Linked DNA regions of Rattus norvegicus. The protein of the gene in region 1 binds, or shares a complex with, the protein of each later gene. Links are inferred from orthologs where the notes say so. Each region holds a gene or a part of one and is shown in the gene's direction. Other genes may lie near its edges. The genes, in order: Nfs1, Lyrm4 and Iscu.

Region 1 (3,072 bases):
AGTGAGTTCATGCATGGTGTATGTATGTGAGTGTATGTATATGAGTATGTGTGTGAGAATGTGTGTGATGTGCATTTGTTTTTGTGTATGTGTGAGTAGATGTTTATGTGTATGACTGTGAGTGTGTGTATGAGTATGGGAAATGACTTTCTGTATGTCTGTGTGTGTGAATATGGGCATTTGTGTGTGAGTGTGTGTGTGGGTGTGTTTGGGTGACTGACTGTGTTGGGGTGGGTGTATGTGGTGGGGTGTGAGTGGGTGTGGCTTTGCTCCTGATTTGTTAAGGTCTTGTCAGAAATTCACAGGCTAGTCTTAAACTCTGTCCTGCCTTTGCTCCAGACTGCTGAGGTTGCAGGAGCGTGCTCACTATGCTGGTCTATGCAGTTTGGGGGAATGGTACATGGTAGGCAAGCACACTTGTGCTGAGCTGTGCCCCTGCCCCTTCTTGAATCTTGGTGAAGATGAGGATGTCTAAGTCCTGTGCTCAGATCCTCTGCCCATGAGCTCTCGAGTAGATGTAGGGAACGTGTCAGTGGCTTCTCATTCTCAAGCTGTGTTCTCAGAAACCTTTACCTAGAGAGGTGGGCCTACCATCTCCTATTTTCCTCTTTTGCTCTGGTAGCTTTCATACACCTGGTTGGCTTCCAACTGACTCTGTAGCCAGAGAATGACCTTGCTTACTCTGCCTCTACCTCCCGAGGACTGGAGGAGCACCACCAGTCCAGTCAGGGATTGAGCCCGGGACTTCATGCATGCTAAGCAGGAACTCCAGCCCTCCCTTTGTCTTTACTTAGTGAGTCCTCAGTGAGTATTGGTCAACACGACCAAAAGGCAAACCTGCAGCCAGGTGTGAGACCTTCTCTGTTCTCTCAGGTTCGGCATCGGCCGCTTCACTACAGAGGAGGAGGTAGACTACACCGTGCAGAAGTGCATCCACCATGTGAAACGTCTTCGAGAAATGAGGTGTGCGCCTGCCTGGGCTCTGGGAGACGCCATACTGCTGATTCCTTTCTCATCATTAGACTCTGTTCATACTGCCAGAAACCCAAGGGAAAAGGGTTTGTAGGATGTAAAGATTCCACAGAGCAAGGAAGGAGACCTCCTCGGCCTCTTGTTCTTCAGAATCTGTTTGCAAAACCAGGTTGCTTATACAGTAAAGGTTTGATCCCCAGCCCTGCAAAAAACCAATGGGAGGCTAAGGTAAAGGTCAGTGGTAGAGTGCCTACGTAGGAGACAAAAACCTCAAACCATAGATCATGTACATGCCTGACTTTATGGCCCCCAGGATGCAGCAGGAAGACTGTGTGTGAGTCCTTTAAGGTTGAGAACTGACCGGGGACATGAAAGCACCAAGCTCAGTAGTTGGCTGTCAGGCTCAGTTCAGCAGAAGACACTGCCTTATGTGTGTGAGGCTCTGTGTCTCATCTTCAGTGGCAAAAGCCAACAAAAAAACTTCTCATAGCTATCACTCCCACAACACACAAAGTAGGTTGGGTTGAAGGTCATTACCCACAATCTTCTCAGTAGCATTTCTTGTATAAGAGGGACAGGTGCTCAGGCCTGCGATCTATGACATCCTTTCAGGTTAAAGCAATAGATAGTCTTTCTGATTTTGGAAGGTCTGAAGAACCTGGGATGGAGCAGGACTTATAAAAACTAGAAAAGACTTGTTTGTCTCTTATATTGGGGTTCTCTTATATTGCCGTACCAGGGTAAGGCAGAGAAGCAACAAGGACAGGAGGCAAATGATTCTTCAGGCCTGAGAGGCAGTGTGATCTGCTGCTTTCTGTCTAAATCTCACTCACTCAGTGCTTCTTTTCTTTGGCAGTCCTCTCTGGGAGATGGTGCAGGATGGCATTGACCTCAAGAGCATCAAGTGGACCCAGCATTAGAAGAGTGGACTGTGACTTCGTGCTGGCCTGGCTGCTCTGGCCTCTCCGACCCATGCACAGCCAGGAACCTCATTACATGCTCAAGTCAGATTGGAAGTTCTTCAGTGGCTTCACCACAGAATGTTTTCAAGTGAGAACTTGAAGGGAGGATCTTTGCTAGCCTCAGCTCCTCTGTAGACACGTTCCCTATTCTCCTCAGGAGCTCTTCTCCGCTGTCTAGTGTGGCCATTCTTACCTGAGGACCTGTAGGCACTGCTGTGTTACTGCCACGGGGACTACCTACCCGTGGGCAGATGAAGGAACTAGAAGAAGGCTCTAGGTTCAAAGACTGCTTCTCTGTGAATCTTCACTCTTGCTGCTCAGCTGGACTGGCGCCATTAGGGACAGGCATAAACAATCTTTCTTTTAACCTTTTTTGTGGCTTCAAAAGACATCTTTTATATCAATAGCAAGTTGTATTAAAGTCTCGTTTCCTTTGGGGTCTCAGCTTCTTTTCTGTATTTTGATTTAATGTAGAAATATCCATGACTCCACCCATTATTCTAATAATTTGCTTAGTTCATTAAACTTTGTTGATTTGAAGATTGGAGAAATAAATTCCATTTCCCCTCTTATTCTGTAAGTTTTTTTTGGGGGTGGGATGGGTGCAGCGAACTTTATTGATGGGATTCAAGAGAGAAGGGAGGGCTCCCTAGGCCTCTCCTGTTATTATGGGGTCCGGGATGGAATTGTGAGGGAGATGCTCAGTGTTGGGGGCTGAGTTGGGACGGGGACTCCTCAGCAACTGAGGGCCTCTCTCTTGCTCCCAGTGTCCTTGCTGGGCTGGGGTGGGTGGTCCAGGGTTTCTTATTCCTTGGAGGCCATTAGGCCATGAGGTCCATCACCCTGTTGCTATAGCCATATTCATTGTCATACCAGGAAATGAGCTTTATAGAGTTGTCATTGAGAGCAACGCCAGCCCCAGCATCAAAGGTGGAAGAGTGGGAGTTGCTGTTGAAGTTGCAGGAGTAGCCCAGGATGCCCTTTAGTGGGCTCTTGGATGCCTGCTTCACTGCCTTCTTGATGTCATCATACTTGGCAGGTTTCTCCAGGCGGTATGTCAAATCCACAAGAGATACATTGGGGTTAGGAACATGGAAGGCCATGCCAGTGAGCTTCCCATTCAGCTCAGGGATGACCT
Region 2 (3,651 bases), on another chromosome or scaffold:
TCCTCTTAAGGCCAGTAGTACCCTGTGCCAAAGGGGGTGTGGGGGATAGAAGGACACTGTGGTGTTGTCATGTCAAAGGAATGTCTAGAAATTGAAATGAGATTTCTGACTTTGTATTTGGGTGTGCATGTGTGTGGGCCCATGTTTGTCTCGGGGAGGGTAACATACAAATCCCACAGTTCATGTATGGAGGGCAGAGGACAACAGAGTGGAACTGGTTGTCTTTCAACTTTATGTGGATTCCAGGAATGAGCTCAGATCGCCATGCTGAAGCAACAAACGCCCTTACCTACTGCGCCTGCTGTCCAGCTGACGTGGATCTAACTCTGAGATATATGCTAAACTTCTGAGATGCAGGCTTTGGGAAGCTGAGGTTTTAAAGTGTAGAGCCAAGTATTCTGAACGTGACGTTGAGCTAAGTTGGTTTGAGTTGTAGAACATTTTAAGAAACTCTCTGGTGTTCTTAAACTTTGGGGAACTTTACATTTATTTCCATCCTGTGAAATGTTCTTTCTCCTTTTAGGTGTTCTGAACCACTTACCTGTTACTTAAAAAAAAAAAAAATCAGGGTATTGATGACTTCTTAGGTTGTGATGTTCTTGCAAAAGCTTTGCTGAATCCCAGTTGAAGAATTAAAGCAGTGGTTGAGGGTATGGGCAGAGCTCAGTAGTCAGGCACACATTTTGCCTGGTTTAGAGCTCCAGCCACAAGATCTTGTTATAAAACCAGTTTACAAGTAGATGAAAATATTAGAATTAAGCCAGGTGGTGATGGCACTCACCTTTAATGCCAGCATTCAGAAGGCAGAGGTAGATAAACCTCTTGAGTTTAAGGCCAGCCTGGTCTGCACAGGGAGTTCCAGTATAACCAGAGCTACACAGAGCTCTTGAAAAAAAAAACGAAATGAGAGAGAGAGAGAGAGAGAGAGAGAATATGAATATATTATAATTAAGGAAAGAATGGTAATTCATGCCTATAATCCCAGTATTTCTCAGGCTAAGGCAGGAAGATTGCAAGCTATATACCACCCTGGCCTAGATGGCAAGACCCTGTCTAGAAAAAGTAGAATTAAAATGCCTGGTGCCATGAAGGTGACAGTGTGTCCTAAAAAAGTACACCAGAGATGCCGTGGACCTGCTTACCCAGTTGTCATCTAACGGGCAGGAATGAAAAGGCTCATCACTGTCCTCGTGCGTGCATATGAAGTGCATCATTTGTCTCCATTCGTGGTTTGCCTCTTCATAGCAAAGGTTAATTACCCTTGCTAATGAAGGGAAATTGCTAATTGCTAATGAAGGGAAATCAGACGTGCAGAACTCTGAAGAGCCAGTGATCTAAGGAGCAGTTTGCCATTTGTGTGTGCCTTGTTTTCCTAGATCTGCTTGCTTAGCCATCCTCGAATCGACAAGCAAAGATCAAACTGGGTTATCTGTAGGAGAATATTCAGCCGTTAATTCTAGAGAAAAAAATCTTTTAAATTCATTTAAAGGCAGAATCTCATACTTGCTGACATCTTTTCTTTTTTCTCTGAATTCATTAGAATGTATGCTGTCAGGAGAATAAGAGATGCCTTCCGAGAAAATAAGAATGTAAAAGACCCCGTAGAAATTCAAGCCCTGGTGAATAAAGCCAAAAGAGACCTTGAAATAATCCGCAGACAGGTAAGATGGCTCAGTGACAGACTGCTCTTCATTATTCGTCTTCAGCTGTGACATTCCCTCTGTGATCGGACATCACTGCTTTGGTGTTTGTGATTTACACCGCAGGATGGCGAGGCACTGTCCTCTTTCCTAATGCAGACATACAGAGATAAACTGTCCTATCGCCAGATTCAAGGGCATTCTGCAGGAAAATACAAGCTTTCTGGGACTTCTGGGGCCTGGTTCTTCTAAGAAACTGAGCTCTCAGGCTTTACTGAAGTTCATGGTTTCAGTGTGTCTTAATCCAAGTGTTTTTATGATGTTCTGTACATGGCTATGTGGCATATACCAAAGCATAAATATATCCTTCCTTTACTAACATTTGTCATCAGAATATAAGATGAGTAGAGTGGGTTATAAGCATGTATGTTACCATGTGACTGGTGTGTTTTTAGGCACAGGGTGCAGAGCATATCTGATTACATGCTGGCCCACAGTGGAGCTGAGGGGTGTTTTTCATTTTATTCCACATCACCCTGACTCCGGCTTGTTTTTCCTGACCTCTGTAAGGTGAGCCTCACCTGTATGTAGCATGGTCTCCTGGCTAGTGCAACACTGTAGTGTCTGACTTCTGGATAATTGAAGTGTCAAAGACTAATGTAGTTTTCTATTGATTGAATTTCTGCCCTGAACTTCCCATTTCTCTTTTCTTCAAATTGGCATAGCTCCATTTCTTTATTCATCTGTTTTCACTCTTATAGCAAATTTGTTTATGAAGTGTGGAGGGTGAACATTTCCAAAGTTCTGTTGTGTTCTGGTGCGGGCTTTGTTGGTTCCCCCTAAGAAGATGCCTGCTTGCCAACATCTCACCACATCCAGTCTTCCCCGCTGCTTTTCACAGTTGTCTCAAAATAGAAGCTAAACAAGAAAATGGTATTAAAAATGAAATTTGCATTTTATGTCAAGATTCAGTCTGTTTCCATTGCTTACATAGTGGAGCACTCTTTTTTCCAGAGTAGCATCAAGACGAAGAATCCTCTGAGTTCTGCAGTTATCTAGAGAGAGACTATCCAGCCAGCCACATTCACATGCCTAGGAAATGATCATCAGCTAAAAGCCTGACAGGAAAAGGTCACCAGGGAAAGGCCAATCCACACATTTGCATATACTTGAGAGCTGTAGGTACATGAGTCACTTGGAAAACTTGAGGCCAATGGCACTTTCCAGGCTCCAGTGGGTGGATCATTTCATGGAATCCTCTAGCAGTAGAACTTAGGAAAATAAGCAGCTTAGGTCTGTGCATTATATAAACACAGAAAAATAAATCGGTTCTTCTGCACGTTTCTCTGTGTAGAGGTCAACAAGCATGATCAGAATACAAACTGTATTAGAAACACAACCTGTAAGTAATCTCCTCCACCATCTCTCATGTCATCTGTGAATGCCTGTACAGTAGCCTCTTGGTTTGAAATGCTGAAACTACTCTCAAAAGATAAGCCAGGATTAAGGTCATGGCTTCATGATAGGACAGTTGCGCACTGTGCACAAGGCCCTTTAAGTCTATCCCCAAAACTAGAAAGAGAAAACAAACCAAAAAATACAAAGACCAGACAGACCGTGGCCTTCTGCCAACTTCCCAGTGAACATACACTGAGAACAGGCCGGAACATCAGGAGCAGTGGACCTGCCTCAAGGTGTCTGCCTCAGGACAGCCCAGTGACCGCACTTTCCTCATGAGGGATGCACACTGCCTCCTTTCTAGGCCAGGGTTTCCATAGTAACTTAGTAGAGCCACAGGTTTCCATGTCAGACAGGCCTGACTAAGGCAGTACTCTCACTGCACTGGAAAACTTAGCAACCTGAGTTATACCTGAGCAACCCGCTGATTCCTGTTTGTCCTCTCCCATCAAGTCTTCAAATCCAAGTGCCACACTTACCATAGTAGAGTACTTGCTGAGCCTACTGGCTATAAGCTGCCATAAACTGGCCTTAGAGCAAAGGTCTAAAGGAG
Region 3 (3,496 bases), on another chromosome or scaffold:
GAGATCTGATGCCCTCTCCTGGTGTGTGAAGACAGCAACAGTGTACTCATATACATAAAATAAATAAATGTTTTTTAAAAAGAAGCTAAGGAGCATTTAAAGAAAAAAAAAAAAGACCCAGTAGCTGTGAAACTACCCACACCAGCACAAGGTGGTGGCACACGGCACACCAACCTGTAATCCCAGCTCATAGAAGGAAGGGGCAATTTTTTTTTTTTTTATCTTTATTAACTTGAGTATTTCTTATTTACATTTCAATTGTTTTTCCCCTTCCCGGTTTCCAGGCCAACATCCCCCTAACCCCTCCCCCTTCCCTTCTATATGGGCTTCCCCTCCCCATTACCACCCTCCCCCCAACAATCACGTTCACTGGGGGTTCAGTCTTGGCAGGACCAAGGGCTTCCCCTTCCACTGGTGCTCTTACTAGGCTGTTCATTGCTACCTATGAGGTCAGAGTCCAGGGTCAGTCTATGTATAGTCTTTGGATAGTGGCTTAGTCCCTGGAAGCTCAGGAAGGAGCAATTTAAAGATCGCCCCAGACTGTATGGGACCCTGTCTTAAAGTGGTGTGCTCACCCTTTGCCCCCTCCTGGGGCCCAGTTCAGGAAGCTCAGTCATGGATTGCTGTGCTCAAAACGCCAGCCAGCTCTCTAACAGCCACCTGCTCCTCCAGATTCGGGCATCTGGTTATTGAACTCCTGGAGGCCAGGGAGACCCAGACCTGCTTGTTCTGGGAGAAAATGGCTCAAAGGAAGTTGGTTAAGAAGCAGCTTTGGAGAAAGGGGAAGTGAGATTGGGCACCTGCTCCCAGGACCTGGCCTTTCAGGGCTCTGAACTGTATGGTCAGACAGTAGGAAGACCTTCTCTAACCTCGAGGTTCCCGTCTGAAGGAGACTAGCTTTTCTTTTTTTTTTTTTCTTTTTTTTTTTTTTTTTTTTTTTTTTTTCCCTTTTTCTTTTTTTCGGAGCTGGGGACCGAACCCTCAGTACTGACCTTCACGGGTGGGTGTGGGAGGAGGTGAACAGACAGACAGACTGCCAGCGGCCATTCTTGGTTTACGACTGAGCTCAGCCATCACCTTTGACGGCCAGCCCACACTCCCTGGGACCTGATCTCTGTCCACAGTGCCCCCTCTGTCCCAGCCAGGAAGGCAGGACCGTCCCAGTCGGTGTAGCAGGCGCACACTCTTGGGTCTTTCTGATTCTAGTTCCCTCCAGCTTACAAAGCTTGCCAGCTTACTTGCGTTTGCTAGGCAAGCGCTCTACCACTGAGCTAAATCCCCAACCCCGAGACTGGCTTTTCTTAATGCATAAGCAGGCCTCTCTGCCTCTCATCCCTCACAGCTCTCAGACCCAGGCCTCCTCAGGCAGACATTGCATAGCAGCCTAGGCAATGCCTGCCTTCAAGGGGCAGCAGGTCTTGTTCTTGCTTACCCAGCCAGGCAGCGCAGGTGTGTGTCCCCCCACTACAGATCCCTTGGTATACAGTGGCAGTCCTGCCCAACAGTGTTGAGTTACTTAGCAGGAGTTTTCCCAGACAGCCTGTCCTGAGGTGTGTTCTGCCCACCCTCAGCAAGGTCAAGTTCACTGAAACTGCACTTTCCTCCCTAACATTTCAGGTGGAGGAAGCCCTGACCATCAAAAACACAGACATCGCCAAGGAACTCTGCCTCCCGCCTGTGAAACTGCATTGCTCCAGTGAGTGCCCCGCATAACAGGCAGCTCGGGTCTGCTCAGAGTGCGCTGTGCCCGCCACCCCACACTCTGTGCCTCCCCAGTCTGTCTGCAATGCCTGGGGCCGTGGTACACTCACTGCACTGTCCCACAAGAAGCCTTGCACCTCAGAGCCTGCAGTCAGATCTGACACCTTCCTGTCCTCTTAAGCCTCCCCAAGAAAGCAGGAACGCAACATCACCCTAACATACTAGGCTTTCTGCCACCTTCCAGCTTCTCACCCACACCCCACCCTGTAACCTCACCCTCAGTACTGACCTTCACGGGTGGGTGTGGGAGGAGGTGAACAGACAGACAGACTGCCAGCGGCCATTCTTGGTTTACGACTGAGCTCAGCCATCACCTTTGACGGCCAGCCCACACTCCCTGGGACCTGATCTCTGTCCACAGTGCCCCCTCTGTCCCAGCCAGGAAGGCAGGACCGTCCCAGTCGGTGTAGCAGGCGCACACTCTTGGGTCTTTCTGATTCTAGTTCCCTCCAGCTTACAAAGCTTCTCTTCCTTCACCACCTCCCAGCAGGGAGATGGCCACCCAACCTGAGTTAGAACTTCTAAACCCACCCCCCAAAGTTGTCCTGTGACCACCACACGTGCCAGGCACATCCACCCATCACATACATGTACAGGCGCATGCATATATATTCTAAATAGATACATATTTATAACAACACACAAATATGCCATGATGTGTGTATAACTATAAAATGTGGAGACCACCCCTCCAGTGTCTAGAAATTAAAGCTGTCTACCTTTCCGTGCCTTCCAGTGCTGGCAGAAGATGCCATCAAGGCTGCCCTGGCTGATTACAAACTGAAACAAGAGGCCAAGAAGGACGAGCCGGAGAAGCAGTGAGCCCTGAGGACGCTCCAGCCGCTCACAGCAGGCCTCCTGCCACCCTGCACATCAGAGAAGCTACGCAAAACGCACACTACTCACTGTTTGCACTATGGCTCTGATACAAGCAAAATGTGCCGTTGATTACGCCTAATCCTGTGTTCCTTTCAGCTCACGTGTGTCCTTAGTGCAGTTGATGTCTTGATTGAGTTTGTGACCTGGGACTGAAATCAGCACCAAAGTCTTAAGCTCTGGAGAGTGACAGGGAGTTGTACCCAAGCTGCGGGGAGACGGCCAGCAGAGCACCTTGTGCTGGCTCTGATAGGATCTATCACTGTGTGTTTAGCAGATCTGCGTGTATATTATAATAAAAAATGGAAGACGATGGTTTTCTCTACTGAACCTGATTCTCGACTCCCTAACCCACCCCTAGTGCAGCCAAGCGCCTCAGGGTTCCCAAGGCCAGACTGCAGTGGGTGACAGCAACAGCCACTTAGCTTCTTTTGAAAGGCTGGAGGGGACGGCTGGTGTTCTTTATGCTGGGAAGCATGGTCAATTCACAAGGACTCTGAGCAAGCGTTCCTGCAATAATCCATTGGTCCGTGAAAGTCAGAAAGTAACCCCAGAAGCTGGCCCCTAAGCCTGTGGACCAATCAGGAAAAGCATTGGGAGATTACACCGTTGTACTCTAGGCCCAGGCCTCCAGCCTTCTTCTGGCAAATGGTTCTAACCTCCCAAGGCCTCCCAGGCTTTGTGTGGTGGACAGTGAACTGAAGCTGACTGGAGAAGCTCATCCGGTGCGAGTGTGTGTTTCTCACGTTCAACTGAAACAAGTACATGCACTGCCGTAGCCCTCAGTTCCAGATACACACACTGACTCCAACATTGGTAGCAGCTGCTCCTCCCCTGAGCTGCCCAGTTATGTAGCTCA

What was found.
Region 2: the proteins of Nfs1 (region 1) and Lyrm4 are in contact, whole or in part, in a crystal structure (PDB 6W1D), measured with the Homo sapiens proteins. The link is inferred for Rattus norvegicus from reciprocal best matches to the Homo sapiens genes NFS1 and LYRM4. Residues at the interface, in NP_066923.3 of Homo sapiens: Leu56, Arg57, Pro58, Leu59, Pro68, Leu69, Pro71, Arg72, Leu74, Asp75, Leu78, Glu314, Tyr317, Arg321, Asp372, Arg412, Phe413, Thr414, Thr415, Glu417, Glu418, Tyr421; in NP_065141.3 of Homo sapiens: Phe23, Tyr26, Asn27, Tyr28, Thr30, Tyr31, Arg34, Arg35, Asp38, Val65, Arg68, Gln69, Ile72, Thr78, Asp79, Lys80, Leu81, Ile82, Ile83, Asn85.
Region 3: the proteins of Nfs1 (region 1) and Iscu are in contact, whole or in part, in a crystal structure (PDB 6W1D), measured with the Homo sapiens proteins. The link is inferred for Rattus norvegicus from reciprocal best matches to the Homo sapiens genes NFS1 and ISCU. Residues at the interface, in NP_066923.3 of Homo sapiens: Tyr360, Val361, Glu362, Glu364, Ser365, Leu367, Met368, Ala369, Lys371, Glu399, Asp400, His403, Ser404, His429, Arg432, Leu433, Glu435, Met436, Ser437, Pro438, Leu439, Glu441, Met442, Trp454, Thr455; in NP_998760.1 of Homo sapiens: Tyr35, Val40, His42, Tyr43, Glu44, Val49, Gly50, Ser51, Leu63, Val64, Gly65, Ala66, Pro67, Ala68, Cys69, Gly70, Val72, Lys74, Phe90, Lys91, Thr92, Phe93, Gly94, Cys95, Gly96, Ile99, Lys135.

Annotation. Positions count from the first base shown.
Region 1 is NC_086021.1:165,096,824-165,099,895, reverse strand, and holds the end of Nfs1 (cysteine desulfurase), read left to right. Parts: intron 1-873; coding exon 874-963; intron 964-1,828; coding exon 1,829-1,892; 3' UTR 1,893-2,506; downstream 2,507-3,072.
Region 2 is NC_086035.1:28,968,888-28,972,538, forward strand, and holds part of Lyrm4 (LYR motif-containing protein 4), read left to right. Parts: intron 1-1,540; coding exon 1,541-1,661; intron 1,662-3,651.
Region 3 is NC_086030.1:48,512,318-48,515,813, reverse strand, and holds the end of Iscu (iron-sulfur cluster assembly enzyme ISCU), read left to right. Parts: intron 1-1,617; coding exon 1,618-1,696; intron 1,697-2,497; coding exon 2,498-2,583; 3' UTR 2,584-2,962; downstream 2,963-3,496.